Cricetulus griseus: one gene and its partners. The protein of the gene in region 6 purifies or fractionates together with the protein of the main gene of each other region. This does not show direct contact. Links are inferred from orthologs where the notes say so. Each region holds a gene or a part of one and is shown on either strand. Other genes may lie near its edges.

What was found.
Region 1: the proteins of Csnk1d (region 6) and Gapvd1 purify together in Homo sapiens (affinity purification with mass spectrometry; 5 studies listed by BioGRID and IntAct, counting the BioPlex papers as one, with this or other methods). This does not show direct contact. The link is inferred for Cricetulus griseus from reciprocal best matches to the Homo sapiens genes CSNK1D and GAPVD1.
Region 2: the proteins of Csnk1d (region 6) and Snx24 purify together in Homo sapiens (affinity purification with mass spectrometry; 3 studies listed by BioGRID and IntAct, counting the BioPlex papers as one, with this or other methods). This does not show direct contact. The link is inferred for Cricetulus griseus from reciprocal best matches to the Homo sapiens genes CSNK1D and SNX24.
Region 3: the proteins of Csnk1d (region 6) and Fam110b purify together in Homo sapiens (affinity purification with mass spectrometry; 3 studies listed by BioGRID and IntAct, counting the BioPlex papers as one, with this or other methods). This does not show direct contact. The link is inferred for Cricetulus griseus from reciprocal best matches to the Homo sapiens genes CSNK1D and FAM110B.
Region 4: the proteins of Csnk1d (region 6) and Fam83d purify together in Homo sapiens (affinity purification with mass spectrometry; 4 studies listed by BioGRID and IntAct, counting the BioPlex papers as one, with this or other methods). This does not show direct contact. The link is inferred for Cricetulus griseus from reciprocal best matches to the Homo sapiens genes CSNK1D and FAM83D.
Region 5: the proteins of Csnk1d (region 6) and Fam83h purify together in Homo sapiens (co-immunoprecipitation; 5 studies listed by BioGRID and IntAct, counting the BioPlex papers as one, with this or other methods). This does not show direct contact. The link is inferred for Cricetulus griseus from reciprocal best matches to the Homo sapiens genes CSNK1D and FAM83H.
Region 7: the proteins of Csnk1d (region 6) and Cry1 purify together in Homo sapiens (affinity purification with mass spectrometry; 3 studies listed by BioGRID and IntAct, counting the BioPlex papers as one, with this or other methods). This does not show direct contact. The link is inferred for Cricetulus griseus from reciprocal best matches to the Homo sapiens genes CSNK1D and CRY1.

Annotation. Positions count from the first base shown.
Region 1 is NC_048599.1:146,454,088-146,457,587, reverse strand, and holds part of Gapvd1 (GTPase-activating protein and VPS9 domain-containing protein 1), read left to right. Parts: intron 1-652; 5' UTR 653-685; coding exon 686-870; intron 871-3,500. UniProt on the Homo sapiens protein: Acts both as a GTPase-activating protein (GAP) and a guanine nucleotide exchange factor (GEF), and participates in various processes such as endocytosis, insulin receptor internalization or LC2A4/GLUT4 trafficking.
Region 2 is NC_048595.1:185,287,508-185,291,007, reverse strand, and holds part of Snx24 (sorting nexin-24), read left to right. Parts: intron 1-668; coding exon 669-763; intron 764-2,642; coding exon 2,643-2,675; intron 2,676-3,195; coding exon 3,196-3,260; exon of another isoform or gene 3,261-3,397; intron 3,398-3,471; coding exon 3,472-3,500. UniProt on the Homo sapiens protein: May be involved in several stages of intracellular trafficking.
Region 3 is NC_048595.1:154,718,491-154,722,676, forward strand, and holds the start of Fam110b (protein FAM110B), read right to left. Parts: upstream 2,801-4,186; 5' UTR 2,505-2,800; intron 1-2,504. UniProt on the Homo sapiens protein: May be involved in tumor progression.
Region 4 is NC_048599.1:20,711,899-20,715,398, reverse strand, and holds part of Fam83d (protein FAM83D), read left to right. Parts: intron 1-3,088; coding exon 3,089-3,256; intron 3,257-3,500.
Region 5 is NC_048595.1:373,308,700-373,312,996, reverse strand, and holds the start of Fam83h (protein FAM83H), read left to right. Parts: upstream 1-1,497; 5' UTR 1,498-1,594; intron 1,595-4,297. Other genes in the region: Iqank1 (putative IQ motif and ankyrin repeat domain-containing protein LOC642574 homolog), read right to left, coding at 871-954. UniProt on the Homo sapiens protein: May play a major role in the structural organization and calcification of developing enamel. May play a role in keratin cytoskeleton disassembly by recruiting CSNK1A1 to keratin filaments. Thereby, it may regulate epithelial cell migration.
Region 6 is NC_048600.1:133,470,347-133,474,523, reverse strand, and holds the start of Csnk1d (casein kinase I), read left to right. Parts: upstream 1-1,377; 5' UTR 1,378-1,688; coding exon 1,689-1,764; intron 1,765-4,177. UniProt on the Homo sapiens protein: Essential serine/threonine-protein kinase that regulates diverse cellular growth and survival processes including Wnt signaling, DNA repair and circadian rhythms. It can phosphorylate a large number of proteins.
Region 7 is NW_023276806.1:150,294,645-150,298,144, forward strand, and holds part of Cry1 (cryptochrome-1), read left to right. Parts: intron 1-1,842; coding exon 1,843-1,985; intron 1,986-3,500.

The DNA of each region.
Region 1 (3,500 bases), on a different chromosome or scaffold from region 6:
ATCACAATCTGTTGGTTTTCTGAGATGGGTGTCTCATGTAGCCTCAGAGTCACTAGGTGGGCAGCCAAGGGATGACTTTGACCTTCTGGTGTCCCTTTCTCAACCTCTCAAATGCTGGGATTATGTTTAAATTAAAGTCAGTGGTTGTACTAAATATAATTAAAGTCTTACTTACAGACAAATTCTTTTTTTTTTTTTTTTTTTTTTGGTTTTTCGAGACAGGGTTTCCCTGTGGCTTTGGAGGCTATCCTGGAACTGGCTCTTGTAAACCAGACTGGTCTTGAACTCACAGAGATCCGCCTGCCTCTGCTTCCCAAGTGCTGGATTAAACACATGTGCCATCACCTCCCGGCTGACAAATTCTTTTTTATGATTTAATTTATTTTAATTTTATGTGCATTGGTGTTTTGTTTGCATGTATGTTTGTATGAGGGTGTAAGGTCCCCCAGAACTGGAATTATAGACAGGTGTGAGCTGTCATGTGCTGGTAATTGAATCCTGGTCCTCTGGAGAGCATCCAGTGCTTTTAACCACTGAGACATCTCTCTAGTCCCCATAATCAAAATTTTAATGTATTCTGCTCATTTTGATTTTAGAAAATAACTTATATGACATGAACTTTTGATTTTGTCTTTTTTTTTTTTTTTTTTAGTGATCAGCCTTTGTACCTTTTCCGAATTCAAAGATGGTGAAGCTAGATATTCACACTCTGGCCCACCACCTCAAACAGGAGCGCTTGTATGTGAGCTCTGAGAAACAGCTCATTCAGAGGCTAAACGCAGATGTGCTGAAGACAGCTGAAAAGCTGTATCGGACAGCATGGATTGCAAAGCAACAGAGGATTAATTTGGATCGGCTAATTATAACTAGGTAAAGTCAAAATTTTTAGGTTATACATTTTGTGAAACTGAAGTCTATGCTACTAACTGTAACTAAATGAATTTCTTTAAGTGCATGTTTTTAAATCAATATTAGGTGAGTCTTCGCTTATAAAATATGTGGAGTTTATTTTGTTTATTAATTAGCTTAAATAGTGAATAGAAAATTATAACTTAAGGATTAATATTTTATACCATACTAGTTTTGTGTCTCTTTGTATATATAACATTTTATTGTTATAGAGAGTAAATTTTGTGATATTACTTATATACATTTCTATGCTTTGGAATTGTATGTCTTTTAAAGAAAAATGTTTTTTATGTTATGTGTATGAGTTTTTTTTTTTTTACATTGAGTTGTTATTTTCTTTTTTTATTATTGTTTACATTCCAATCCCAGTTCCTCTTCCCTCCTCTCCTCCCACTACTGCCACTTCCCCCTCCGTCTACTAAGTCTGTCCCATCATCTAGTTGAGGCTCCATATAGAATGGGCTCCACTAAGTCAGTTTGTGCTTTAGAGTTAGATCTTTGACCTGCTGCCACTGGTCTCATATATTTTCTCAGTCACACTGTTGTCACCTATATTAAGGGAGTCTAGTTCGGCTTTAAGCAGGTTCCCCATTTGTCAGACCTGAGTTAGTGATCTCTCACTAGCTCTGGTCAGCTCATTCTGTGGGTTTCCCATCATGGTCTTGACTCCTTTGTTCATATTATTGGCTCCTCCCCCACTTTGTCCAGGAACTTGGCCCGTTGGTTAGTTGTGGATTTCTGCATCTGCTTCCATCTGTTTCTGGAAGAGGGTTCTAGCTTCTCTGCGGTTATGGATCATAGGCTGGGTATCTTTTGCTTTATATCTGGTATCCACTTATGAGTGAGTACATACTATATTTGTCTTTCTGGGTTTGGGTTAACTCACTTGGGATGTTTTTTTCTAGTTCTTTCCATTCATTTGCCTGTGAATTTTAGGATGTCATTGTTTCTTACCTCTGAGTAGTACTCGATTGTGTAAATATACCACATTTTCTTTATCCATTTGTGTAAATATGCCACATTTTCTTTATCCATTCTTCAGTTGAGGGGTATGTAGATTGTTTCCAAGATCTGGCTACTACAAATCATGTTGCTATGAACATAGTTGAGCAAATGTCCTTGTGGTGTGACTGTGCCTCCTTTGGGTATATGCCCAACAGTGGTATTGCAGGGTCTTGAGATAGGTTGATCCCTAATTTTCTGAGAAATCACCATACTGATTTCCACAGCAGCTGTATAAATTTGCACTCCCACCAGCAATGGAGGAGTGTTCCCCTTTGTCCACATCCTCTCCAGCATAAGCTGTCATTGGTGTTTTTGATCTTAGCCATTCTGATCTGTGTAAGATGGCATTTCAGAGTAGTTTGGATTTGCATTTCCTTGACTAAGTGTTGTTATTTTTCTTCAGTTGCAGCTGCGGGTGATGAAACATGAACCACAAGACTCAACAAACCCACGTGGAGTTTATTGGGAAAAGGAAACACAGAGAGGGGTAGAGATGGAAGATGGGACAGAGATGGAAGAGATAGAGGGCTTAGGAGGCACTCACTTAAAAGGGGAAGCTTGCACATGCGCACAGAGTCCTTATGCAGCCACATAACGCATGGCATAGCCACGCAACACAAGTCTCTTTGAGCCATCTAAGTATCTGCCTGAATGCCGGTGTGCATACCCTGCCCATTGTCAGGGGGCGGGGTCAGTATAATGCTTGGATACCAAAACTAAGGATGTTGAACCTTTTCTTAAGTTTCTGCCATTTGAGATTGTTCTGTTGAGAATTCTTTGTTTAGATCTGTACCCTTTTTTTTTTTATTTGGTTTACTTGGTAGTTTGATTTCTAGTTTCTTGAGTTCTTTGTATATTTTGGAGGTCAGCCCTCTGTCAGATTTGGGGATAGTGAAGATCTTTTCCCATTCTGTAGGGAGCCTTTTTGTCATGTTGACCATGTTCTTTGCTTTACAGAAGTCTCTCAGGAGGTTCCATTTATTAATTGTTTTATTTATTTATTTATTTATTTATTTAATTTATTTATTATGTATACAGTCTTCTGCCTGCATGCCAGCAGAGGGCACCAGATCTCATTCAAGGTGGTTGTGAGCCACCATGTGGTTCCGGGAATTGAACTCTGGTCCTCTGGAAGAGCAGTCAGTGTTCTTAACCACTGAGCCATCTCTCCAGCCCCCCATTTATTAATTGTTGCTTTCAGAATCTGTGCTACTGGTGTTCTATTTAGGAAGGGTCTCCTGTACTTATGCATTCAAGGGTATTTCCCACTTTCTCTTCTATGAGGTTCAGTATGGATGGATTTATATTGTCTTTGATCCATTTGGACTTGAGTTTTGTGCATGGCGATAAATACGGATTATTTGCATTCATCTACATGTTGACAGCCAGTTATACCAGCACCATTTGTTGAATATATGTTCTTTTTTCCATTTTATATTCTTTGCTTCTTTGTCAAAAATTAGGTGTTTATAGGTATGTGGGTTGATACCGGTCTTTGATTCCATTCTATTGGTCCACCTGTCTGTTTTTATGCCAACACCAAGCTCTTTTTTTATTACTATAGCTCTATAGTAGAGCTTGAAGTC
Region 2 (3,500 bases), on a different chromosome or scaffold from region 6:
CCTCCATGTTGCATAATTTTGATCTCGGCATGCTGACATGTTTATGCCATTATGCCAGCTCTTTAGCAGAGCTATTTAAGTGGAAGAACTTTATAGATTTTTTTTCAATATATACCCTGATTTACACTTAGCGGTAAAGTTGTCACTGACCCTTTAAGTGGAGCTGCCCAGATGGCAATAAATGTCAACTGATCCTTGTGCAGAAACAGGTGATAACTAAGGGGTTAGACTAAATCTTCCAGATGGAAAACCTGCAGTATTTCCTAGGAGTAGTGGCCTGCTATGGAAACGTAAATACTTTATTACTCAACAAGGAACATTTGATTTGTGTATCCGATGTGCCTGGGATTGGACTGTTCAGGATGGATCAGTCTCTGTGAAGGCAGGGAGCGTGTCCAGTGCTTCCCCAGTGTCTTCCCCGTTAGTGAGTATCTGAAGGTAGGAGACATTTCTGTAAATGTACTGTGAAGGAGTGGATAAAGAACAGGGCGTGCTCATGCTGTATAGTATGCATCAGCCTGCCTCTACTCCTCATATCAATTATGAGGAATGTTGCTGGTGATGTGATGACTTTGATGGACAGTTATGACTTTTTGATAGAGTTCCTTTGATTGATGGTATAACAGACTTCCCTCCCATCTCTAATTTTGTTCTCTGCTTTCACACAGGCCGTCATTTTGGAAAATGAAGAACTTCCCAAGCTCTTCCTTGATTTCCTCAATGTAAGACACTTGCCCTCCTTACCAAAGGCAGAAAGTTGTGGGTAAGAACTGCTATTTACATTGTGGGTGTGTATTTTAAGTTACAATCACCCCAGAGTGGTGCCACATGGCAAGCTAGCCACATCTAAGCTCTTAGTTGAGGCATATCTCTCTCTCTCTCTCTCTCTCTCTCTCTCTCTCTCTCTCTCTCTCTCTCTCTCTCTCTCTCTCTCTCTCTCATATTCCTATAGTGAGAGGAATCCCTCCCAAGTCTTTGCCTCTGTCCTGCAACAAATGGTCCAGGCAAACCCATGCCTAGACATAAGGAACTAACCTTTTAAATGACGGTGTCACATAGTGTCTCGGGTGGTAATTATGAATCCAGAGTGTAATCAAGGTCAGTCCCTTGACTTGTGCCAAGTATACATATTCATATAGCTTTTTAAAGGTATACTTCTATTTATGTGTATGTTTGTGTCTGTGTATGCCATGTATGTGGAAGGGGGTACCTATAGAATCTAGAAGAGGACATCAGATCCACCAGAACTGGAGTTACAGACAGTTGTGTGTTGTCTGACATGGCGCTGAGATCCAAACTTAGATGCTCTGGAAGAACAGCAAGTGTTCTTAACCATTCAACCATCTCTCCAGTCTCTAAAGCTATAGATGACTTTAGAGATCATTGATCCAACACCCCTCATTTGGTTGTTGGTCAGAGACCCACAAAGTGCCTTTCCTAAGCCATGCAAGTGGCAGAACCCAGGCCTTCCATGGAGGGTTGCTTTCTTTGACCACTGCTTCTCCCTCAGGAACTCATAACTGATGGGCTGTAGTCTCTAGTCCCTATTAACCATGAAACTAGAGGTACAACATACTGGCAGCTGGAGAACGTTCTTCTAAAGTCTGAAATCTACAGCAAGCTGGGTTGAACTAGTCTCTGAAAGCAGTTAGCAGCACCCCTGCACAGTCAGTCAATCCCCAGAGACTTAAGGCAACACAAATCTAGCAGGGCACAGGGCTTTGCCATACTTTCCCTCATCTTCCAGCCTATTCCTCAGACTGGGTTAAACCTGAGCTGTCTACGGAATGCAGGGCAGTAGATACCTTTCACCGCTCCTTATCAGTGTTATTGACTCAAGGCCACTTGCTACTCACTCCAGAGCCTGAATTACATTCCATACTCACCAATGATCTATGAGGCCAGTGTGTTCTGTCCTGTGTATTCGTGTTTCCTGGGAAGGCAGGTTCATAGATGCTCTTGAATTTTACACAGCAACATTAACAAATTTCAGTGAATGAGGTCTTCTTACTTTTATTCTAACTCCAAAACAGTAATAAGATGTAGATGGAAGTTTCTGTCCCACCTGTTCCCATAGCCATTTAGTCCCAGATAAGCATACAAAGGCTTATATTAATTATAAACTGTTTGGCCTATTGCTTAGGCTTATTACTAACAAACTTTTACAACTTAAATTAACCACAATCCTTATCTATGTTTAGCCATGTGGCTTGTTACCTTTACTCAGTGAGTCATTCTCATCTTGCTTCCTCTGCATCTGGCTGGCAACTCACGCTCTGCCTTCCTCTTCTCAGAATTCTCCTAGTCTGGTAGCCCCACCTATACTTCCTGCCTGGCTACTGGCCAATCAGCATTTTATTAAACCAATATGAGTGACAAATCTTTACAGTATACAAGAGCATTATCCCGTAACAATAAGGCCATGGGATTTTTAAATGATCTTAAGGAAAATTGAAATGCCCAGAGTCTTCCAGGCTGAAGATTTCTTAGAATGACTTGTCAGCCATGCTGTGGCTCAGTACAAACTCAAGTTTTCTGTTTGTTTCCCAATCCAGTGCTAAGGATACTAACGTTTTGCTTTGCTGACATAAATATTGGCCCAACTTAATTAGTTTTTTCTTTTCTTTTATTAAAAATTTCAGATCTTTTGATGAGACAGAATCTGAAGAGTCAAGGTAAGAACTAACACCAGTCAATGAGCAGTTTCAGAAATCAATACTAGAACTGTAGTTTGTTTAATGTCTAACTACCCATGGTATACCTGTTTAAAGTCATGTTTCTCCTGAAAACCTTTGCTGGATATTGGTTTTATGATGATAAATATTTGACAGGAATTTCCAGGGTTAATTGCTTATAATTGGGAATGAAAAGGGTTAAGAGCCCCATTTGGCTTCATGCAAGTAATAAGAATACGGCTTTGCTTACGATCAAATTGCAATTTCAGAATGTACTTTCCAGCAGTGATATTTACAGCATAGATGAGTGTCTGTCTCATATCCCAGAGAGAAATATCTGGAAGGCAAGTGCAGCACCCATGACTTCCCTCTGTGTGTTTGCTGATATCCCCCCACACTAGAAGATGCAGAGACCTGGAGACATCCCACACAGCAGTTTGATCCCCTCAAAGCTAGTTTGTAGTGTTTTCTGTTTACCATCGTCCCCTGATGCTGACATGCCTGTTTTTGACCTTTCCAGCAAGCTGTCCCACCAGCCGGTGCTGCTGTTCCTCGGGGATCCATACGTCTTGCCTGCAGCCAGCGGTAATCAAACCTGTCATCTGCTAACAGCTCTTTACTGATCTGCCCCCGCACCACATAAACCACGTTTGTAATACGGGTCTAACAGAGTGACATCGGTCCAGGGCTTAATCATCTGCCAATAAACCAGTGCTCTTGGTGTAAGAGACATTTAGAATTTTAATTGGGGCCGGCCTTTCAGGAGGAAATGTAATTTTTCTTTCTCTCTTCCTAGCCTATTTTGAATTAGAGAAAGAAGGGATA
Region 3 (4,186 bases), on a different chromosome or scaffold from region 6:
CCTAGACTGGGTGCTCACACAGCCCAGGTCCTAGGCAGCATTGTAAAAATTTCAGAGTCTTTACCCTGAATATCAGTGCTCATTCTGCATACCAGGCGCCAGGAAAATAATAAGCAGCAACGGTAAAAGCAGAGGGGAAAGGACCTAATACAGGCTTCCCAATGTAACAGAGGCTTCCCTAAATAAGCTCAAAATGCTAATAGGCTCCTTACCATTTATTTTCCTGTGTTGAAAGTACATACTGGAAACAGAAAAAGTCAAGGGTAGCTGGAGACTCTTGCCTTAGGTTAGCCCACCCAATTCTAACATGGAGAAATGAAAGGGAAGAGTACAGCTGATAATTATCATAAGCAATAGACATTTTGTGTGCCTACATGGTAGGGCACACAAAGAGAACGCATTTCCTTGGCAAATGCCCAAAAGATTTAAAAACACAAGAGGAAACTTAAGAAGCCATGCCATTCCTAACACTAATGCAGGTGTCTGTATTGTGGGATTTTTCTCTAAGAAGCAAACACTGCTGCAGATTAATCAATCCCCAATTTTCCTTTAGTACCTGAGCAGTGGCTGGGCTATCAGTCCCCCACAGCACCACCTACTGTTGCTGGGCTGTACCTACAACGGCTCCACTTCTGGAGGACCGACCCCAAGACTTCAAAACATTGAAAAATGAAAAAGATTGTCACTTCAAAGTCAATGGTGGAGATAGAGGGTGAATTGATAACTAACAGATGATCACATAAAATATCTAAGTTGTTAGTACCATGTTTTAGTTGCTGATAATGGCAAGTGGGTAATTTTATTTTTTTTCTCGACTATTTAGCCTACAGATCTTGATCCCAAGGATTTAAAACTAGAGTAATGACATGCTCTGAGGGATACCCACACAGTGAATACATTCATCTTCCATTATCGATAGGCATGGTGGGTGGGTGTTAACTAGCTCCTATGACCCCTTGAGAAGGGGTGGTCTAAAGACTAGGTTCACAGCATGGGGTTTCCTCATGTTTAAGCCCTTTATAGACAACCAGGCCCCTTAGAGACAACCAGTTTCTATTATGAAACCCACTAGGCCATGGCAGGATTCAGACTCATAGACCGACCACTAACAAATCTTCCCTTCCCAGCCAGCTTGTCAGTCTCCTGCGAACAGCCCAATCTCAATTCTGATCTAAAATTAAATCACAGACTCAAAATAGACCACGATTTAAAAGCTCTGGGATGGAAACAAACAAAAGAAACATTTTTTTCTGAACAGCAAAAACACGAATTGAAAATAAAACCAAAAATAAATATAGCTCATATTTCTCTAGTTCTGCTTCCAGGCCCCATGTTAAATAAGGCCTTTGAAGATTTTCGGGTTCAAGAAGTAAAGTCATCCCCAAGTTCAATTCACGATTTTAAGATGAATAATCTAAGAAGTGTCACAGATTAAATGTATTGTGGTAAATCAATAGCATGTTACCATCTACCTACCCTTATTGTTAAATAACTATGCTTAATAAACAGCTCTTTTGAATGACCAGGTCTCAATAACACAAAATGAATACAAATACAAATAACAACACAGTACAGTCACATGACTTAGAATGGTGGATGCTAAATAACTCTTTAACGCTAACAGAGGAAATGAAAATGGAAGTCATATTATTCATACAGAAAAAAATGCTGATTCTGCTATCATACTCCTCTCTGTAAAAATAGACTCCGCAATCCTCACAGCCAGCCATGCACTGTTGTCACAGATGTGCGCCAGATTTACACAGGACATAACTTGGCTGGGGAGGCGGGGGACGCGGAGTTTGCTTGAACCTTAGGCAGGAAAGAATGCCTGTTCTTTCTGGGAGAGGGTGACTGTTAATAAATCCGAATAGCAACTTGAAAGGGTTAAAAAGCTGGGCGTCAGGTGGTTTTATTTCCACTTTGGGAAGTATAAAGCAAAGTTATCTCCTCTTCCTTCTCCACTAGCCAGGATGGAGAGACTTGTCACTGCCATTTACACCACCAGGCTCGGCTCCTGCTCTAACAAAAGGAGGGCAGCGCAGACACCCAGCTTCCCACAGCCTGGCATTGTCGCCAAGTTCTGAGCGCCGCTAGGTGACAGGGGCACAAGTGAGCCAGGACCAATTTTTCCTATTTCCAAGAAAGCAGAGACAACCGAGCTGTGGGAGGACTGGAGAGTGTTTGTGTGTTGGGGGGTGGGGGAGACAAACAAACTTTCAGAGCCCCGGGTTCTGCATTCCCGCAGGAACTGGCAGCACCCTGGCGCGCCCACGGGATGACCTGGGTGGGTGGGGACGCAGTCCAGAGAGGGGCCGGGACGACCGAGTCCTCGCCCACCCTCTCCCCTGCAGCTAGAGCTCCTACCGAGTCTGGGCCTCGCCGCCGGTCCAGGCGCGCAGCCGGGCTCAGGGCGGACAGCGGGGCCGGGCTCCCGGCGTCCAGGCCCGGTCTCGGAGCAGGACCTTGCGCTGCACTCCCCACCCGCCAGCGCCCCTGCTTACCTTAGCCGTTCTCCGGCCCCTGCAAGGCGTCCAGGCCAGGAACCGGGCTCCGGAGACCGCGAGGAGAAGCTTGGGCCCTGCGGGGCACTGCAGGCCGAGATGAAGCAGCCACCGGGTCCTCCCAGCCGGCTCCCAGCCGACCGCGGTGGCCGAACGGGCCCAAATCGCGCGGCAAGGCAGGCTGGGCTGACCGCGGCGGCGTTTGCACCTCCGCACCGAAGGGGCGGGCTCAGGCAGGCTCCGCGGGAGAGCGAGGGTGGGAACTTGGAGCCAGTGGCAGCAGGCAGAGCTAGTGTCCCCGCGCAGCCGGCACGCCCCCAGAGCTCCCCGCCCCCAGCCCACCTTCCCGCTCCACCCCCTCCGCACTCTGCACTCCTCCCCTCTCACCTCCTCCCCGCCCACCTGTCCCCAGGCTCTGCTCCCATCAACCCCACACCCACCACGTGCCCCACTTCCCCATTGCTCCCACCCCTGAGAAGCAACCCTGACATGTGACTCTCCCACCCCAAGACAGTGCAGACCAGGCTGTGCTGGGTACCCAGAACCTGTGTGCAGATGTGTTGAGCCCACCTGATATGCCCTTGTGGAAGATCTTGGCGCCCATTTCCTAACTCCATGTGGTCAGTAAGGTTTTCTCCATGGGCAGGAAGCATCCAGGAAGACTAAGCCCATTCTAATTGAGTTTCGCTAGTAGGAAATTTTAACGTTAAAATCCATGCTTATCAAAATGACCAAGTTTAAAGGAGATCGGAAGTCACAATGTATTTCTCGCAGAAATATTAAGCAAAATTTCTTTGTTTTTAACCTTTAGTACTTTGAAATGTAATGACATTTGTGTGGTTTTCTCCAAAAGACCATTTATACATATTTAAATTATGCAACTCTTAATTCCTTATAGTTCAGAAACTATAAAAGTCCGACTTCTATAATAAATTTCTGGCTATTTGCAGGAGTATTGTGCTAATAAGTGACGTAATGCTAGGCTTTGAGTGGAACTTTGGCATGCAAATGAGCTCCTTGTCAGCAAATTACATTGTCGCCTCCATTTCTACTCCAAACCCAGTGACAGTGGAATGAAGCTATTTTTCATCATTATCATAGCAAATGCAGGCAGTTTCTGGCCAGAGCACAACCCCTCACCACTCCACCACCACCACCACCACCCACCCCCCCACACACACACACTTTTGCTTATTTGCTCCGAGCCTCTTCCCATTGTGTGTGGCTGAGACACAAACCTCCATTTGCAGTTTCCAGGGCAGAGTAAAATATATCTTGTCCCCTGGACATAGAGATGGGAGACAGGAGGCCTTTATCTACTTAAGAAATACCAAGGTCCTTTCTCCTAAATGTGTCATGAAAGCCTGCAGCACCTGTATGTACCCCATCGAAGAACAAAACCTAGCCAGAAGAAAATCCACATACTAACCACTTTAGCCAAGCCCTCTCTTGAAGTATCGGAACACGGGGTCTGAAGATGTGCACAGTGAATTCCTTTCTTGCTCAAAAGTTTTGCCATAGGCTCCCTTTCAAAATGTTGACTTATAAAATTATAAGAGATTACCCTGTGCTTTGGAAGTCAGAAACATAACCAGTGAGTTCTAGTTTTTGTGTTGCCCAAATCAAATTATTTCTCGCTAATGAAGTATGGGCCAAGAAGTCACTTAAAGTCCTGAGTTTTA
Region 4 (3,500 bases), on a different chromosome or scaffold from region 6:
TCTCCAGCCCTGCCAACTGGGCTGGGTTCCTAGTGCCTGTTTCAGTAGCCTCTAGGGCATTTTCATTACCATCACTCTGCATCATCTGGGTTCTCTTTTCCCATTTGACTGTTTCTCAGCATGGGGACTAATCCATCACCTAGCTGTATATAGCTCACAGGGGCTCCACTGACCATCAGAGAGGCTAGCAGGTCTTCATAGTTTTCTCCAGGAGTTCTGTTCCAATTCTTGCACCTTGGATTCAAGCACATTCTGAAAGTTTTGCTGCTATCTCTGAGTCAGGTTCGAAGTTCTCTCAGCTTGTATGTATTTCTGTGACCCCGTGCCCATTGCTGGGCTCTCCCATGGCTTCTTCCTGTCCCCCGTAGCCTCATAGCTTCTGGCTGGGACTTTTCTTCTTTCAGTCCTTAGTCCTCCAAATAGCTGCAGAAACTTGTTAGCCCCAAAGATTCCCCATCCCTCACTGGGTTCCTGGTCCTGAGTTAGAGGAAGTAGGTTCAGGTCTCTCATCTGCAGCAGCATCTTTCCCAGCATCTGGATTCATCGCTCTATATACTCTTCCTATGCAGGCTACTGACATGGATTCCATAGCCTTCTACTACCTTATACATCCCTCTTTGCTAGTCACATCCCGTGGCTCCCTTTCCTGCATACTGTACGTTCCAGCCACACTGGTATGCACACATCCTTCCTAGCCTCTTCTGTCATCACATGGTTTCCTGGCAGAGAGCCCTTCATTTCTCCAGTAGCCTCTTGTCCCAGTTGGGCCTTGAATTCAGTGTGTAACCCAAGCTGGCCTTGAACTTGGGATCTTCCTGCTTCAACTTCCCAAGGAGCTGAGATTACAGATCTGTGCAGCCAGGTCAGGCTTATCCTAACCTTATTCTTGTCTGTGGTTCAGCTCCGATGTCACTTCTCCCAGGAAGCCTCCCTCTTCTGTGTGTCTATAGGTGCCTGTCTTCACAAGGAAGCTGACATGCTGCTCCCTACAGAATGTGTAGACATCATTTTGCTTTCCTCACCTCACGTTCTGTCAGCTCTGTAGCCATCTCTGTACCGGGTAGACTCGGAACTGATAAGCCCGTTCATTCCACACTTCCCTCCCTTAACCATCACTGCAGTCCTGCCACGCTGTGCTGTTATCCAAACCTTTCCAAGGGGAAGGAAACTAAGGTTGAGAGAGATTAAGCGCCAAGGGGCCATGCTGAGCTCTGTGTCCTGGCTTTTGCCTTAAACCCTGTTACAGATCCCAAGTGGACGGGGTGAACACACTCTAAAACATGTGAAAGCCATCAGAGCCAATAAGCTTCTGAAGATGCCACTGATTCTAAAATGCTTCTTGTTTTGTTTTATTCATTGTTGAGGAGGTTTTATGAAGGTCAGGCAGGGAGTGGTATAGGGCCAGCCAGAGAGACACTGATCATCCCAGGTGGCTCTTGCTTCTGGGAGCTGGCATTTCAAGGCCACTCATCTGAGCAGATGGAACCCTAGAGTTAGAAAGGTGGCAACATTGACCCTTTGCCTCTTCATTTCTTTCTCTTAGTTTTTTTTTTTCTTAAGATAGACTTTCACTCTATCCAGGCTGATCTCAGCATCCTGAGTGCTGGGATTATAAGCTTGCACCCCCCATTCCTGGCTTCTGTGTTTCTTTTTAACCGTACAAATGCTTAAGGAGCAAAGCTGGCTAGTTACTTACTGTCCTGCGATTTCTACCATGAAGATAAATGCATCCCATTTGAGGCCTCTGCTGCAGTACAAGGAAGGAATAGTGAGGCTGAAAAGTAATGGGAATGCTCAGCCAAGGGGTTAATGCGATTCGGAGACAGGGATTTTTACTGTTGAAGCTGAGAGATGGAGAAGCCCTGACCACTCCCAATTGCAAAACAGCTCCCAAATGCTGGCTTCCTGACTCGCTTTGTAGGGACTTGTTTAAGCCTGGGTGTTTTTACAGCCCTGCCTCTCTGCCAGCAGTTTCTGCAGGCCGGTGAAGTAGGTGATGTGAGACTCTGTAGCTAGCTGTAACAGCCTCTGTAAATGAGGAAGGGAGACTAGGGGCCACCTGTATCTTCCTTGTGAGGGGCTGCCCAGGTAGCTGCAGCCCATACTGGTAACATGGGTGGTTGAGCAGACACCAAGGGTCTTTTGGACCCTGCACTTGTGCAGTTTGGGTTTTACAGCAGGCCTGTTTTGTAGCCTAGCAGACATTCTAAACAGTGATACTCTGTCCATGGACACATGGGTGAGCATTGGCTCTTAGCTGTGGTCTGGCCTGGGTGTGGAAAATCAGTTCTTATCAAGGGGTACACATGGCTGGGGAGAAGAAAGAGCAGAGCTGAACCAAAGGTCAGAATCTTCAGGAAGTATTTCAGTTCTTATCCTGACTGATGGGGGTTTGTGGAATCGGGAACAGTGAATTGGTAATGGATACAATCTTTCTAAAACAAGATTAAAAATGCTCAGAGACTATGATCCAAAATCAGACAATAGGCAAAAAACTGTTGACTTGAATACTAATAGCAAAAAAGAGCTTCATAGAGAATCTGAGGTGTTTTTTTTCTTTGCACTTACTTGTGCGTGGTTACACATGTTACTGGTATGGCGTACATATGGAGATCAGAGGACAGGTTGCAGGAGTTGGTTTTCTCCTTCCACATGTAAGTTCTGGGAATTGAATACAGGTCATCTAGCTTGGTAGCAGTGTCTTTGCTAGCTGAACCATCTTGCCAGCCCCAAGATTTATCAGCCATACAGACATAGAAAACTGAAGTCTGACTGGGAAAGCAGTGTGATTTGAATTCCAATGTGTTGGCCTAGACAGCTTGCTAGTCCAAAGTGAACCTGGAGGTGGGGTTTAGTGATGGTGCAGAAGCTAAATGAGAAGTTTGCCAGTGTGGAATAGGTTGGCTGAGGGACATTGGGGAGCACTAGTTAGCTGGGCTAAGCTAAGACATGTAAGATGTGGGTGCCTGGATGTCTTTAGGGTGCAAAAGAGCCAATAGTGAGGGGGAGATTTGTAGTGCTGAAGAAGGGAGTGTCTATGAGGATGGTATTTAGAGTTCCTTACTTTTCCTTCTGCCTTATCTCATAGGTGATTGCTGTGGTAATGGACGTTTTCTCTGACATTGACATCTTCCGAGACCTACAGGAGATCTGTAGGAAACGGGGGGTGGCTGTGTACATCCTTCTGGACCAGGCTCTGCTCTCCCACTTTTTGGACATGTGCATGGATCTGAAAGTTCATCCTGAGCAGGAAAAGGTTTGTGGGACACCATTTCCAGTTTCCCCTCTGTCAGCAATTACCCATGATGTACTGTGTGGTGGTGGTAGTGATGGTAGGCTCCCCACTGACAAGTGAGGAAGCTGAAATCTCACAGAAAGTGAACATAACCCGTGACCTTGCAGTTCCATTCCTAGGTAACTACCCAAGAGGAATGAAAGACATGTCCACACAACAACGTGTCTGTTTATAGCTGCTGGAAGTTTCATCAGCTAATAAGTGG
Region 5 (4,297 bases), on a different chromosome or scaffold from region 6:
CTTATCCCAGGACCCAAGAATGGGAATGGAAAAGGTTGACAGGAGTGACAGGGCTGTTCACAAGCAACACAGATGCTGCATCTCCCAGTATTGCACACCTTATGGCTGCTCTGAGAACTTTGGGAGGTAGAGGCAAAGGGCAAGGCAAGGCAGTGGCCAGAAGAGAGCAAGCATCTGAGGCTCTGTGAGACCTAGAAACTGGTCAGGGAAAGTATTGAACAATGGGGTTGGCTGCGAGGGGTTCAGACATCAGCCACTGGGGAGCATTGTGTATGTAGGGACACTGGAGTGAGCTTAGAGAAACTTAGGCTAGATGTGCTGGCTTCAAGACACCCAAAGGGGAAGTTGGAGGATACCTGAAGTGGGGCTGAGGCGCTGGCAGTGAACTCTTAACCTAATTGTTAGGTTGGGAACTTTGGGAATACCGTTTAGAGCTGAGGCCAGAGCCAGGAGGCAAGCAGGCTGGACAGATCTGGTCCTGTCCATAGGCACTGGAGCCCAGGAAGCAGGCACAGGACTCCAGACTCGTGGTGGGACTCCCCAAGTGCTGCCCATGGCTGGATCATTTTTCATTTTACTGCCGCCAGAGGGCGACCAGCTCATCACAGGAGACTCATGCTCCTTTGGGAGGCAGCCCTGAGCCATGGGCTAGCACAGTATAGAAAGGGGGCTTCTGTGTGCTTCTGGCCTACTTCATAGACTATATGTGTACACACATGCATCCATGAATGCATACATTCCCCTGCACATTCATGCATACACGTGTGCATATATAGACAAACACTTGTGCATGCTATGCTTGTCTGGGCCCAGGGAAGTCCCTTACTGCCAGCCCACCCCTTAGCAGAGGTAGAACACCCAGGATCTCACCTGCAGGAACCTCGGGGTTCTCAGAGTAGGACTCTTTGGCCGGCTGGCCTGTCTTCGTCTGCAGCTGGTGATCTTTCGGCTTCCCTGAAGGAAGGTAGCAGAAGTGTTGGGATGTGAGTTGGCCCTCGCCCCATCAACTTCAGGTGGCATTTATGGGACACCAGCTAGGCTTATTCCTAGGCTCTTAGGGAAGGCCTCATGAGGCCAGCACATGCCACAACTTTAATGAGCAGCGTCTTCCAAGAGCAAATACATCTTAGCCTAGTAATACTAAGAACCAACAGACACACCTACCCCTATACCTGGAAATGAAACTCCAGGTCTGGGCATATGGAAGTCCCTAAAAAGTGTGCCCCTCATTGTCCCGACTGCTGTCTCCCACCCAAACAATGCTTCTGCCATTCTCCACGCCCTTCAGCAAAGCTCTGCTCTGCCCAGCTCTGCTCCAGACTGGTGCTCTCTGTCTGCTCTTGAGGTTCCTGGGCAAGGGCAGGATGGATAGGGGTGTGTGCTGGGCAGGGCTGGGCCAGGCAAACCAGTCTGACCAGTGAAGCAGAGCTGGCAGGGATGAGGCCCTGGGCGTGGGTGTGAGTCAGCGGGCTGGGGCTGGGGAACCACTGGGGAGGATGTCACCTGGAGCGACGCCTCGAAACAGGAGGCCTGGGAAGGAAGGCTCAGATGAGAGTTGGTCCTGGACCCCCAGCTGCACCCCTGGGACTAACAGGTGGGCCTTGGAAGGGTCCCTTGGGCCTTGTTTTAATTCAAAGGGGGAGCTGGATTCCCAATCATGGCAGTAGGCAGGCCCCACACCCATACTAGGAGACAAGCTAGACTTTTCTTTCTAGGCTTTTGAAGGCTCAATGTCTTTACCAGGCCACAGTGTGGCCCAAGTGCTTCCCACTGGGGCTAAGGTAGCCATTATCTCTAGCAAGCTCCCCAGGCAAGCTCAAGCCCAGCAGGGCGCATCTGCATAGGCTTCGAGTTCCAGTGGTCAGTTGGTTTGGGATGGTCTATGGTCAGTGAGGGTCTGAGCATTCAGGGCTGGTGCATTTGAGATGTAGCTCTTAGCTCTGCGGACAGTTTGAGTTTCCCGCGACCGAGGGTGGGGTGAAGGGTGGGGGGCCTTGGTGAGTCCAGGCAGGACCAGGCACGTCCTCAAGCAACTGCCTAGCTACAGAGAGCCGCCCCCAGTTTCTTAGCCTCCCTCCCAGTCTGGCCAGTGAAGTCTGTGGTCTGTGAAGTCCCGCACCCTGTGTCAGCACGTTAGTCAGCCTCCTCGGTTAGGGTGAGCCACTGTGCCGCCAAAGTCCCTATAAACTCCCTGGTGTGGCCCAGCGCCACAGAGTGCGGCCTGTGGGACCTATAGACAGAGCCAGGGTCCTGTGCTGTGCTGTGGGCAACAGGGCAAGGGGTAGAGCAGCCACTTGGGACAGAGGAACAGAGGGCTGAGCCTGGCTGAGAGCAAGCAGCCTACTGCAGCCTCTGGGATGCCCTCTGAGCTCCCCAGCAAGGCCAGTGGATGAGACGGTTCCCTGGGGAGCAGACATCTGGTGAAAGACCACTGGATCCTGGGCCATGTCTGGGAAACGAGGTCGAGCTCGGAAGCCCCGAGGCAAGAGGGTGGGCAGGGCCCAGCGGGCAGCTGGGCAGAAGTGCCCTGAGGCTGAGCCTCCGCCCCCCAATACAGGGGGCCCTCAGGATCAGTTGGGGGTGGCCCTCACGGGCCACGTGACCAGCACTCAGCCGGCTCCTCAGGGACACTCTAGGGCCACCAGGCCAGAGCAGCTACAAGCATCCTGGAGGCCAGTTCAGGCCACCACTGTGGAATCCGAGCTAGTGCTGGCTCCTGAGCACATGGAGGGCTGTGGAGCCAGGGCCCCCATGCCAGCCCTGGGCCCTGAACTGCTGAGACTCCACGAAGTCCAGCTGTGCCTAGCCCAGGAGCAACTGCTGCTTGAGGATCGGAGGCGGCAGGTCCAGCTGCAGATGCAGCTCTGGCAGGAGGAGCAGCTGTGGCTGCAGCAGCTGCAGGAGGAGCAGCTGTGGCTGCAGCAGCTGCAGGAGGAGCAGGCCTGGGTGCACATGGAGGGGCTGCAGCTGGCTGTGGCCCTGGAGCAGCTCCGGAGTGAGGGCCTCGAGGCACTGCAAACCCAAGGCCAGGTAAGGCCTAGAGGGCTATGGGTAGGGGCTTGGGCAGTCTGATGGTACAACAGACACTCAAGTATCTTATAGATGCGTGAGGGCTGGGAGGCCAAGTTGGCTACAGAACCTCTGTGGGCCTGTATGCCTGGAGGGGCTTGTGCCCACTACACAGAATGTTGCCCGGATGAAGGACAGCAATTCTGCCCAGACCACACAGTGCTTGGCAGGCAGAGGCCATTGAGGGAGGTGGGGGGAGGGAGCTTGTTTGGGGATGGTGGTGTCAGGGGACCAGGACGAGTAGCTACAGGAGCTGTCCAGGAAAGCATGCATAGTAAGGTGTGGGGTGAGAGCTGAGTGCACAGTTGACAGACAACAAAACTGAGGAACAGTCCCCTCTCCAAGTATCCTGGACAGCTTCTTGTCCAGTCCACCTGCCCTGCCCACTATTTACTGCAGCTTGGTGCTCGGGGCTTGAGATCACAGAGGCAGCACGCAGTGCTGGTACCCATTATCCTCATTCCAGGAGGAAGACTGGCCTCAGACGCAGCTGGGGCTAATTTGGGCAACTAGGACTTCACCCCAGCGTGGTGTGGAGTCACCATCGGCTGCCAGCTCCAGGGAATCTGGCACTGCCTGGGCTCAGATGCAGGGCTGCATCTAGGTCTGGGTGGGTACCCTCGCAGCAGGCACAAACTACAGGCAGGTTTGGGTGCAGAGCCCAAGAGATAGCCTGGAAGATGTTCACATCTGTAGCACAATGAATTGTAAGTTGAGTGAAGGGGTGATAAAGGCTACGGGGGTGGGGGGGGCAGGCACAGGGAACAGGAGAGTCCACTTTCTCATGATCTACAGAAGCTAGCCCAATCTAGTTGTAACCTTTCAGCCGGGAAGTGCTACGGAGAGGTGATCTGAAGGGGAAAGTGTGAGGCGGGTTTGATGAACAGTGAGTGGACAACCACTTACGAAGATTCCCAACTTGGATTCAAGCCCTTCTCTTTTTCAATATTGTTGCTGTTTTCAAGAGACAGAGTTCCTCTGTGTTACCTTGGCTGCCCTGGAACTCACTCTACAAACCAGGCTGGCCTCAAACTCAGAGATCCCCCTGCCTCTGCTTTCCATGTGCTGGGATTAAAGGCGTGTGCCACCACTGGCCAGCTTCAATATTGTTTTTAGTCATCTGCCCCTCCGATCTCCTCCTGGCCCCTTTCTTACCTCCAGGGGCTCTAACACTGTGCCTTTCTGAGTCCTGTGCCCACTCCCCACCCCAGCTCTAGAGGTCCAGGCT
Region 6 (4,177 bases):
TCAACATAAGGGTTTCTCTGATGGGGAAGATAGGTGTTGTTCATAAGTTTCTAATTTTTCATTAGAAAAATAGTAAATGAATTCTGTCAGTGAGGTTATTTTTACTAGTGTGGTCAAGTCTGGCTCTGACTCCTGGACTGAGAAGCTGAGCAGTTCCCAACTACCCACCACTCAGGGGCCACTGGTTTGTTTGCCTTCTGGTGTCTTCTGTCTCCAGCCATGCTGTGTAATGCTCCCCCCTGTCGTGACTGCCAGCTATGTACAGGTAGGTACTACAGCACCACCAAAAGGAAGGTGGTGGAGCCAGGAGAGTAGAAGAGCTATGAGCTCCATGTGTTCCTGCAGGGCAATTGCTGGACCGCTTTTCTCGCCCACCAGCCAGGAGTTGCTCTGAGGTGTCACCTGTGCTCCAGACCCCTGTGCACAGAGTGGTGTGGATGCTAGCTGTCCAAATATGAACATTAAATTGATCTGTGGCTCTGTGTTTCTAGCTGGATGGGGTGGGCCGGCCTAGAGAGCCATCTACTTGGGAAGCTGGACCCTAGTTTGGGTGCACCTCCTGTGTGGTGGCTTCTCCAAAGGCCTCCCCAGTGGTCAGAATGGACAGCCAAGTCTTGGGAGCTGGCTATTAGCCTGGACTTCAGAATTCATGTTTGCATTTTCCGGGCAGAATATTCAAATCCAATACAGACCAGAAAAAAAATGTTGACATACATGGTCTCCAGGCAGCTGGCACTGGAGAGAGACCCGGGCCTGGGACACACACTCTACACCCTCAGTGAATTCATCATTTACCTTCTGCCCACCGTGGGTCCTAGGAAGACACTCTTCTTCCATCCTTGATGTGCAAGAAGGTGGCAGGCAGTGGCAGGCCACAACTACACATGTTCTGCAGCCCTCAAAGCCCAGGACTGACTGGTGGCTCCTAGAAAACAGTCTATTTGTGACCCCAGAGCCGTTCCTGGAGCTCCCTCTCTGCCCCGTTCCCCGACCTGCAAAGGGCAGCACTTTAGGGCCTTCCCCAGGCTGTGCAAAATCTTCCCCATCATGTTATTTTGGTCTATTTAGTGGTGTGTTCAGGGGCAGGGTCTCTGCAGCCCCAGTGTGGCCTCGAACTCAATGATCCTCCTGACTCATCATCCCAAGGGCTGGAACTACAAGACGTTCTCTACCACGCACGGTTTAGCTTCCTCAGATTTCTGTTGGACACAAACGGAGAGACCACAGAGACTAGACGTAGTCGTCCTGCGGCAGCGGTGGACAGTGGGACAGAGGAAACCGTTCTGGTTGCGACTGCGCAAGCCGTCAAGTATCCAAACCCCGCCCCCGAGCGCCGTGGCCCCGCCCCTCTGGGTTGCTAGGGGAAGTGACGTCACAGCGCGATGGCGGCGGCTCCTTTAGGCAGCTGAAGGGGGATTTAGGCCCGGAAGATCCGAGTCCATCCGCGGCGGGGAGAGGGTGAGCGGGGCCGGCAGGGGCCGGAGCAGCGGCGGCGGTGCTCGGACTGTCCCATCCGCCCCGTATTGAGGCGCTGAGAGCGACGGGGCAACCAGAAAGCGATGGTGAAAGCGGGGCCGTGAGGGGGGCGGAGCCGGACCGGACCCGCAGTAGCGGCAGCAGCGGCGCCGCCTCCCGGAGCACAGACCCAGGAAGCGGCCGGGCGGGCAGCAGCGAGCCGCACCGCCGCCATGGAGCTGAGGGTCGGGAACAGGTACCGGCTGGGCCGCAAGATCGGCAGCGGCTCCTTCGGAGACATCTATCTCGGTGAGGCCCGGCGCCGTCGAGCAGCCCGGAGCCGTGCGGGCCGGCGGGCGGGGTCCCCGGCAGGCCGAGGCCTGCGTCAGGCCGTAGTGGACACTCGGCCGCTCGGCATCCCCGCACTCCGAGGGCCGGGCTACCGGCCGCGGCCTACATCAACGGCCGCTGGCCGAGCGCGGCCGGGGGCTGGGCGCGGCGGGCTGGGGGGGCGGGGAGGGGCTGGGGCACCGGGGAGGGGGCAGCTGGGCTTTGGGGGCTGCAGGACCGTGGGGGTCGAGATCCGAGCGAGCCCGGGAGTGGCCGGGGCCCCGGGAGACGAAGAGCGGCGTCTGGGGGCGGGCGGGGGGCGGCGGGCTTCGGGAGACGTGGTGGGGTGTCGGAGGGCGTGGGAAAGGACGGCGGGCTCGGGCGGGGGGCCGTGTTGGAGCTCGTCCAGGGGGCAGCGGGGCGGGGGAGGCGGCGGGCTGGGGGTGGGGCCCTAAGGGGGCAGGGCCCGGGCTGCGGGGCCCCAGAGGCGTCAGCATCCTCCCCCACCTAAGGTCACCGCAGTAAACAAAGGCCACGCTCTGCTCCTCGCTCGCTCGGAGGGTCTGGTACTTACTGCCCCTCGCCCCTGCGGGGTGATCCTGGGTGTTTTGATGTGTGTGTGGGGGGGAGAAACGTCAAAACAATCCGAATGGAGCGTGGAGGTGGGGAGTGTCCCAGCCCGAAATGGGGAAATGACGGGCTGGCTTCTAAGGGTTCTTGTGGCTGTCTGAGCCTGCCCTTTTCCACAACGCTGTTTCCAGTTTAGCTGACCTGCCGAACGGATCGTCCACCTTACGCCAAAACAGGACTGAAGATGTCCCCTTTGAGCTCGGTCAGCTCCTGGCCCTTTGGCCGTGGGTCCTCAGTATATGTTGAGCATCTTAAGTTGACTACTGGACACTCGGATGTCAGTGGGGATGAAGCTTTGATTAATGCTGGCACAATCTTGTCCATGTGGAGAGGTTGGCAGAGCAGAGCAGAGGGAAGTGGTGTGAAAGTTCTCATCCCTTGACTCTCAGAATTCACAAGGTAGACTTGAAAATCCAGACTTAGGATTCGACTGCCCTGGGTTAGCTCAAACTTAACAGTGAAGACTGTGTGTGTGTGTGTGTGTGTGTGTGTGTGTGTGTGTGTGTGTGTGTGTGTGTGTGTGTGTGTGTGTGTGTTTGTGTGTGTGTGTGTGCGCATGTATGTAATTACAGGCTTGCTTAAACCCACTTGTTGGGAATTTTAAAATGAACATTTTTACCCCCGTGTCTCCTAGTGGAATTGTAAGTCATTCCAAAACCCCTGAACTTCTGGTGATGAGCATCCTGAAGATGGTTGCCTGTTAGAGGCAAACATGCTCTGCTGAGTAGCCCGGTCTTCTGCGTTTGTGTGGCAGTTGTACCTGTAGTGCAGAGTCAGGAAGAAGCAGTGCTTTGGGCCTTGCCTTTCAGGCTACCCAAGTTCAAGACCTTCCTACTGTGACTCCTAGGACCTTGACAGCTGGCAGTGTGGGGTGGACAACTGGCCTGTGTGGGTAGTTCATAGGTATTTATGGTCCCTGGTTAGCGTGTAAGGTAACCCTGCTCTGTGCCACCACACGAGTGCTTTGAACCTGTACTTCTTGCCATAGTGGCCTGATGAGTAAATATGTTTTAGAGATACTTGGGGTTTGCTTATTTAAATATTTATGATCAAGTAGTCAGCCAGATGCCTTCTCGGCAGTGTTTGGGAGTCAGAGTGCTGGGTAAATGGGAGATGTTTGGCTTATTTATAGAACAATAGATCTTGGCAGGATATAGGAGCTATACTGAAAAGGCAATCCATTAGCCACCCTTTCATGGGCACCAGAAAATAGGTATTCTGAAACTTTTTGTTCCCTGAGATTTTGCCAAGCAGTTTTGTACTTTGTGAAGATTGATCCTAACAACCAAATTGTGATGTGGAGTCACATGCCATTCAGAGAGGTAAACTCTTCTCTGGGAAGGGTGCAGGCTCTGTCTGGGGATGCAGCTTACTCAGTCACATCTTTTCAGACCTGCCTGGTTCCTGCAGCCTCATGTCCCAACCAGAGCAGTGGGACTTGAGGGAAGGGCTGAGAGGCTGCCTTGAACCAGTGCATACACATCCTGCCCAGGATCTTCTACAGGCATGTGGGTGGTGGCCCATCTGATCATGTGAGGTAACTTTTTCCAGGAGTTCCATTTTGATGACTTTTGATGTGAGGTGGATTGCTGGGATCCTAGGGGTCAGAGTCCCTGGCTTACCTGTCTATCATGGTGTGTGGGGTTTTCGGTTGTTGTGTTTTGTTTTAAGACAGGATCTCACCATGCAGCCCTGGCTGGCCTTAGACTCAGAGATCTGCCTGCCTCTGCTGTGTGCCACTGTGCTGGGGCCCGGTTGTGCC
Region 7 (3,500 bases), on a different chromosome or scaffold from region 6:
AAGGTTGCTGTCATTAAATGACAAGAAGCCACAGTTACAACAAAATCAAGAGGACATCGGCTACAGTGCACACAAGTGCATACGTGGAAACCATGCTGCTTAGGGCTCACGATGCCCGTGCTTTCTGCTCACTATCACATGATGCAAGCCTGTGGAGCGGTGTGTCTACAAAGTGAACAGTCTTCACCAGGCCAATCTCAGCTTTTAGTCTTGTGGTTTTTCCTACTAGTCTGTACACCTTAACATGAAACATACATATGTATACACTATGTTTTCTACTCTCATTCACATTTTATTCTTAAATTACAAAACTAGCATTTGTACTAGCAAATATGAACAAGACAGCAAAATAAGTAATTATTTTCTCTCCTCAGTTCTGCTTGAAGGTAAACAGCTATTAACTGTTGTTACATTCTAGGCCTTCAAGAAAGGAAAAACTGTTAAATGCTTTATTTTTCTCCTAGTAGTTTCAAAGACATCTTTAAAAGATAACTATTATATACAGCTGACAATCACTCTATGGTACTGCTGATAGGAATATAAATCAAAACAACTGAAAATGTGCCCAGCTATCTAAGCTCTAAATGTGCTTATGTTTAATCCATCATTTTTTTTCTCAAGGATTAATTTCTAGGAAAATAGGATAAATGCCTAAATATGCTTCAAATGTATGTACCGGGCTAGAGATATGGCTCAGCTGTCCACAGAGCTTGCTGCTCTTCTAGAAGACTTGAGTTCACATCCCAGTACCCACACCAGACAGCTCACGATGGTCTATAACTCTAGCTCCCAAGGGTCTGACACCTTCTTCTGGCTTCCATGGCACTCGCATACATGAGTGCAAACACACACTAACAAATTAAAATTTTTATAAAAGCTAATTGACTGCAAAATGTATAATGTACAGTGTACCATTGCTGACCCTTTTGGTCTATCACAATGTGGTATCATTCAGTCAGTTAAATAATAGTAGAATTATGAGATTTTTTTCGTTTTGAAGTAAATCAGAACAGATTTTAGAATTCAACAAAAGTTAACTACCATCCTGAGAAGTCATTTAATTCTCTTACGTCATAGTTTCCTTATTTATAGTAACTATAAAGAGATGTAAGTTACTGATAAATAACAATCATAGTTCCTGTTTTTATTGCTGGTTCCAAGTTAACTGCTGTCAACTTTTTGTTTGTTTTTGTTTTGTTTTTTTCAAGACAGGGTTTCTCTGAGTAGCTGTTCTGGAACTCACTTTATAGACCAGGCTGGCCTAGAACTTGGAAATCTACTTGCCTTCTCCTACCAAGGGCTGGGATTAAAGTTGTGCACTGCCAGCATCCAGTTCACTGACATTTTTAATAGTCAGAAATCAGTCATTCTAAACAAAACAGTTCATACCATATCAGCTATCAAAGGTTTTTTTTTTTTTTTTTTTTTTTTAGAATCAGCAGGCATAAACTCATGTGTTCTGTCTCTGTGAACCCGAGCTTGTCCCTAAAAAAAAAAAAAAAGTCTGCAAAATGTCAAATGGAGGTGGTTTTCATTCAGAATTAAATAAGATAATGTGAATAATTGAAAAGAATGCTCCCTAAGCACTTCAGTATAAAGAATCATTTAAGTATGTTGCTAGATTGGCTCATGCCTGACACAGTGCCATTAATCTAGTTGGCATATATTTGTGATTTGCATATTTTCACATTGACAGATTGTATGCTTTCCACCTGCATATTTGAAATTTGGTTTATGTATAATTGTTTGATGTTGATTTTGAGCTTTTCCCTTATTGTTATAAGAAGAACATAATTATAAAATTGTAATATATTGTTATCCCCTTTTTCATCTTGTTTTTAGGAATGGAACATCACTAAGCTTTCCATTGAGTATGACTCTGAGCCTTTTGGGAAGGAACGAGATGCAGCTATCAAGAAACTGGCCACTGAGGCTGGAGTGGAAGTCATTGTGCGCATTTCACATACACTGTACGACCTGGACAAGTAAGTCTGTGCCTTTATTACAAGAAAATACATGATGACACTTAGCTTACCATCTTAGACATTTTTAACTACACTTTTGGGTGATATTAAGTACATATTTGAGTAAAGTTTTAAATGGAAATAATAGAATCAGAATTGTAGAAGAATTAAGTGGGTATATACCAAGCCCTTGGCATTTTACTTAGCTACATTGATTTTTTTTTCACTCAGTAATAATACCAAAATTGTAGACATAATGCATAAGATAAAAATATTTAGCATTTCTGTTTTAAACTAAGAAATGCTATTTATACATTTTTATTCAACTATTAACTCAACCACTATTGCCTTTCTGAGATGTCAGTATTATTAAATTTATACCTTGTTTGACACATCACTATAATTGACTTTGATATATTTTATGTGATTGTTATGTGTATAATAGTTTGTCCTTTTCTTTAGTTGAGATGAAAACTGAAGTAATATAACTGCCCAGCTAGAGTCATCTGAACATGTTATCATGCCTGTCTGCCAGTGTGTTTATCGAAACACTAGCCAGTCCCTGGGATGCTTTGGCCGGCAAAGATTCTGTGGCCAAATTGAGCTTAGACTAGAAGTAACATGTGCTAAGAGTTTAGGAAGTTCATAAACTGTGTAAGTTTACAGTGACTTCTGTATGAAATTGTCTTTATAAATATGAAAAGATCACAATTTATGGGCCTTTAAATGATTTTACCTTTTAAACAAAACTTAATTCTATAAGTAACATAACTAAATTTACTTCTATTTGCAAGTGGATGGGAAAAAATCATGATTTGATTCAGGCAAATGTCTTACCCTGTTATTAACCTAGAAGTGCTAAGCCCTTTTGGTAATAAGAAGTGTACCAGTTCTCTTAACTTGAATGAGTGATTATAAGGAGGCAAAATAGGATAAGAGAAGTTGCTTCTAAGTGGGAAACTCAGCTATATTGTAAAATTAGTTTTTATTGGGTTGATTGTGAATATATACTCAAGGTTATCATACTTATATGTTATGTATAAAAATGTTTTCCATGAGTTCCAGTTGGCTACTAGATAATTAAGAGACACTTGATAGTGCCATTGTAACATCATTGCATTCATCAAAATTCATTATGTGTAAACCAAAACAAACTTTACTTACAGCAGGAGACTAGATTTCCTGATGGTTTCTTTCTGTAAACGTAGTTGAGAAGAAATATACAAGGTATAAAGAAAAATATATAATGTTTGGGATGAAGAAATACTTGATTAGCAATTTTATCAGTTATATGATCTTGGCTAATTTATTTAACCATCTGTAAATGATAAAGCTGAATTTAACCTGTAATTGTAAGCCAATAGCTGGAGTGAAGAAGTGTAATTAATTATTTTAAAACAGTGTCTAGTCTTACTGTAGACCTTTGGAAGTGCTGCTGGCTGTCCTTTCCCTAGAAGTATGACTACATTGCGGTGTCTAGTGGGCGGCAAGAGCTACATAATGTACTTAAATCTAAAGGACTTTGAATTTGGGGTG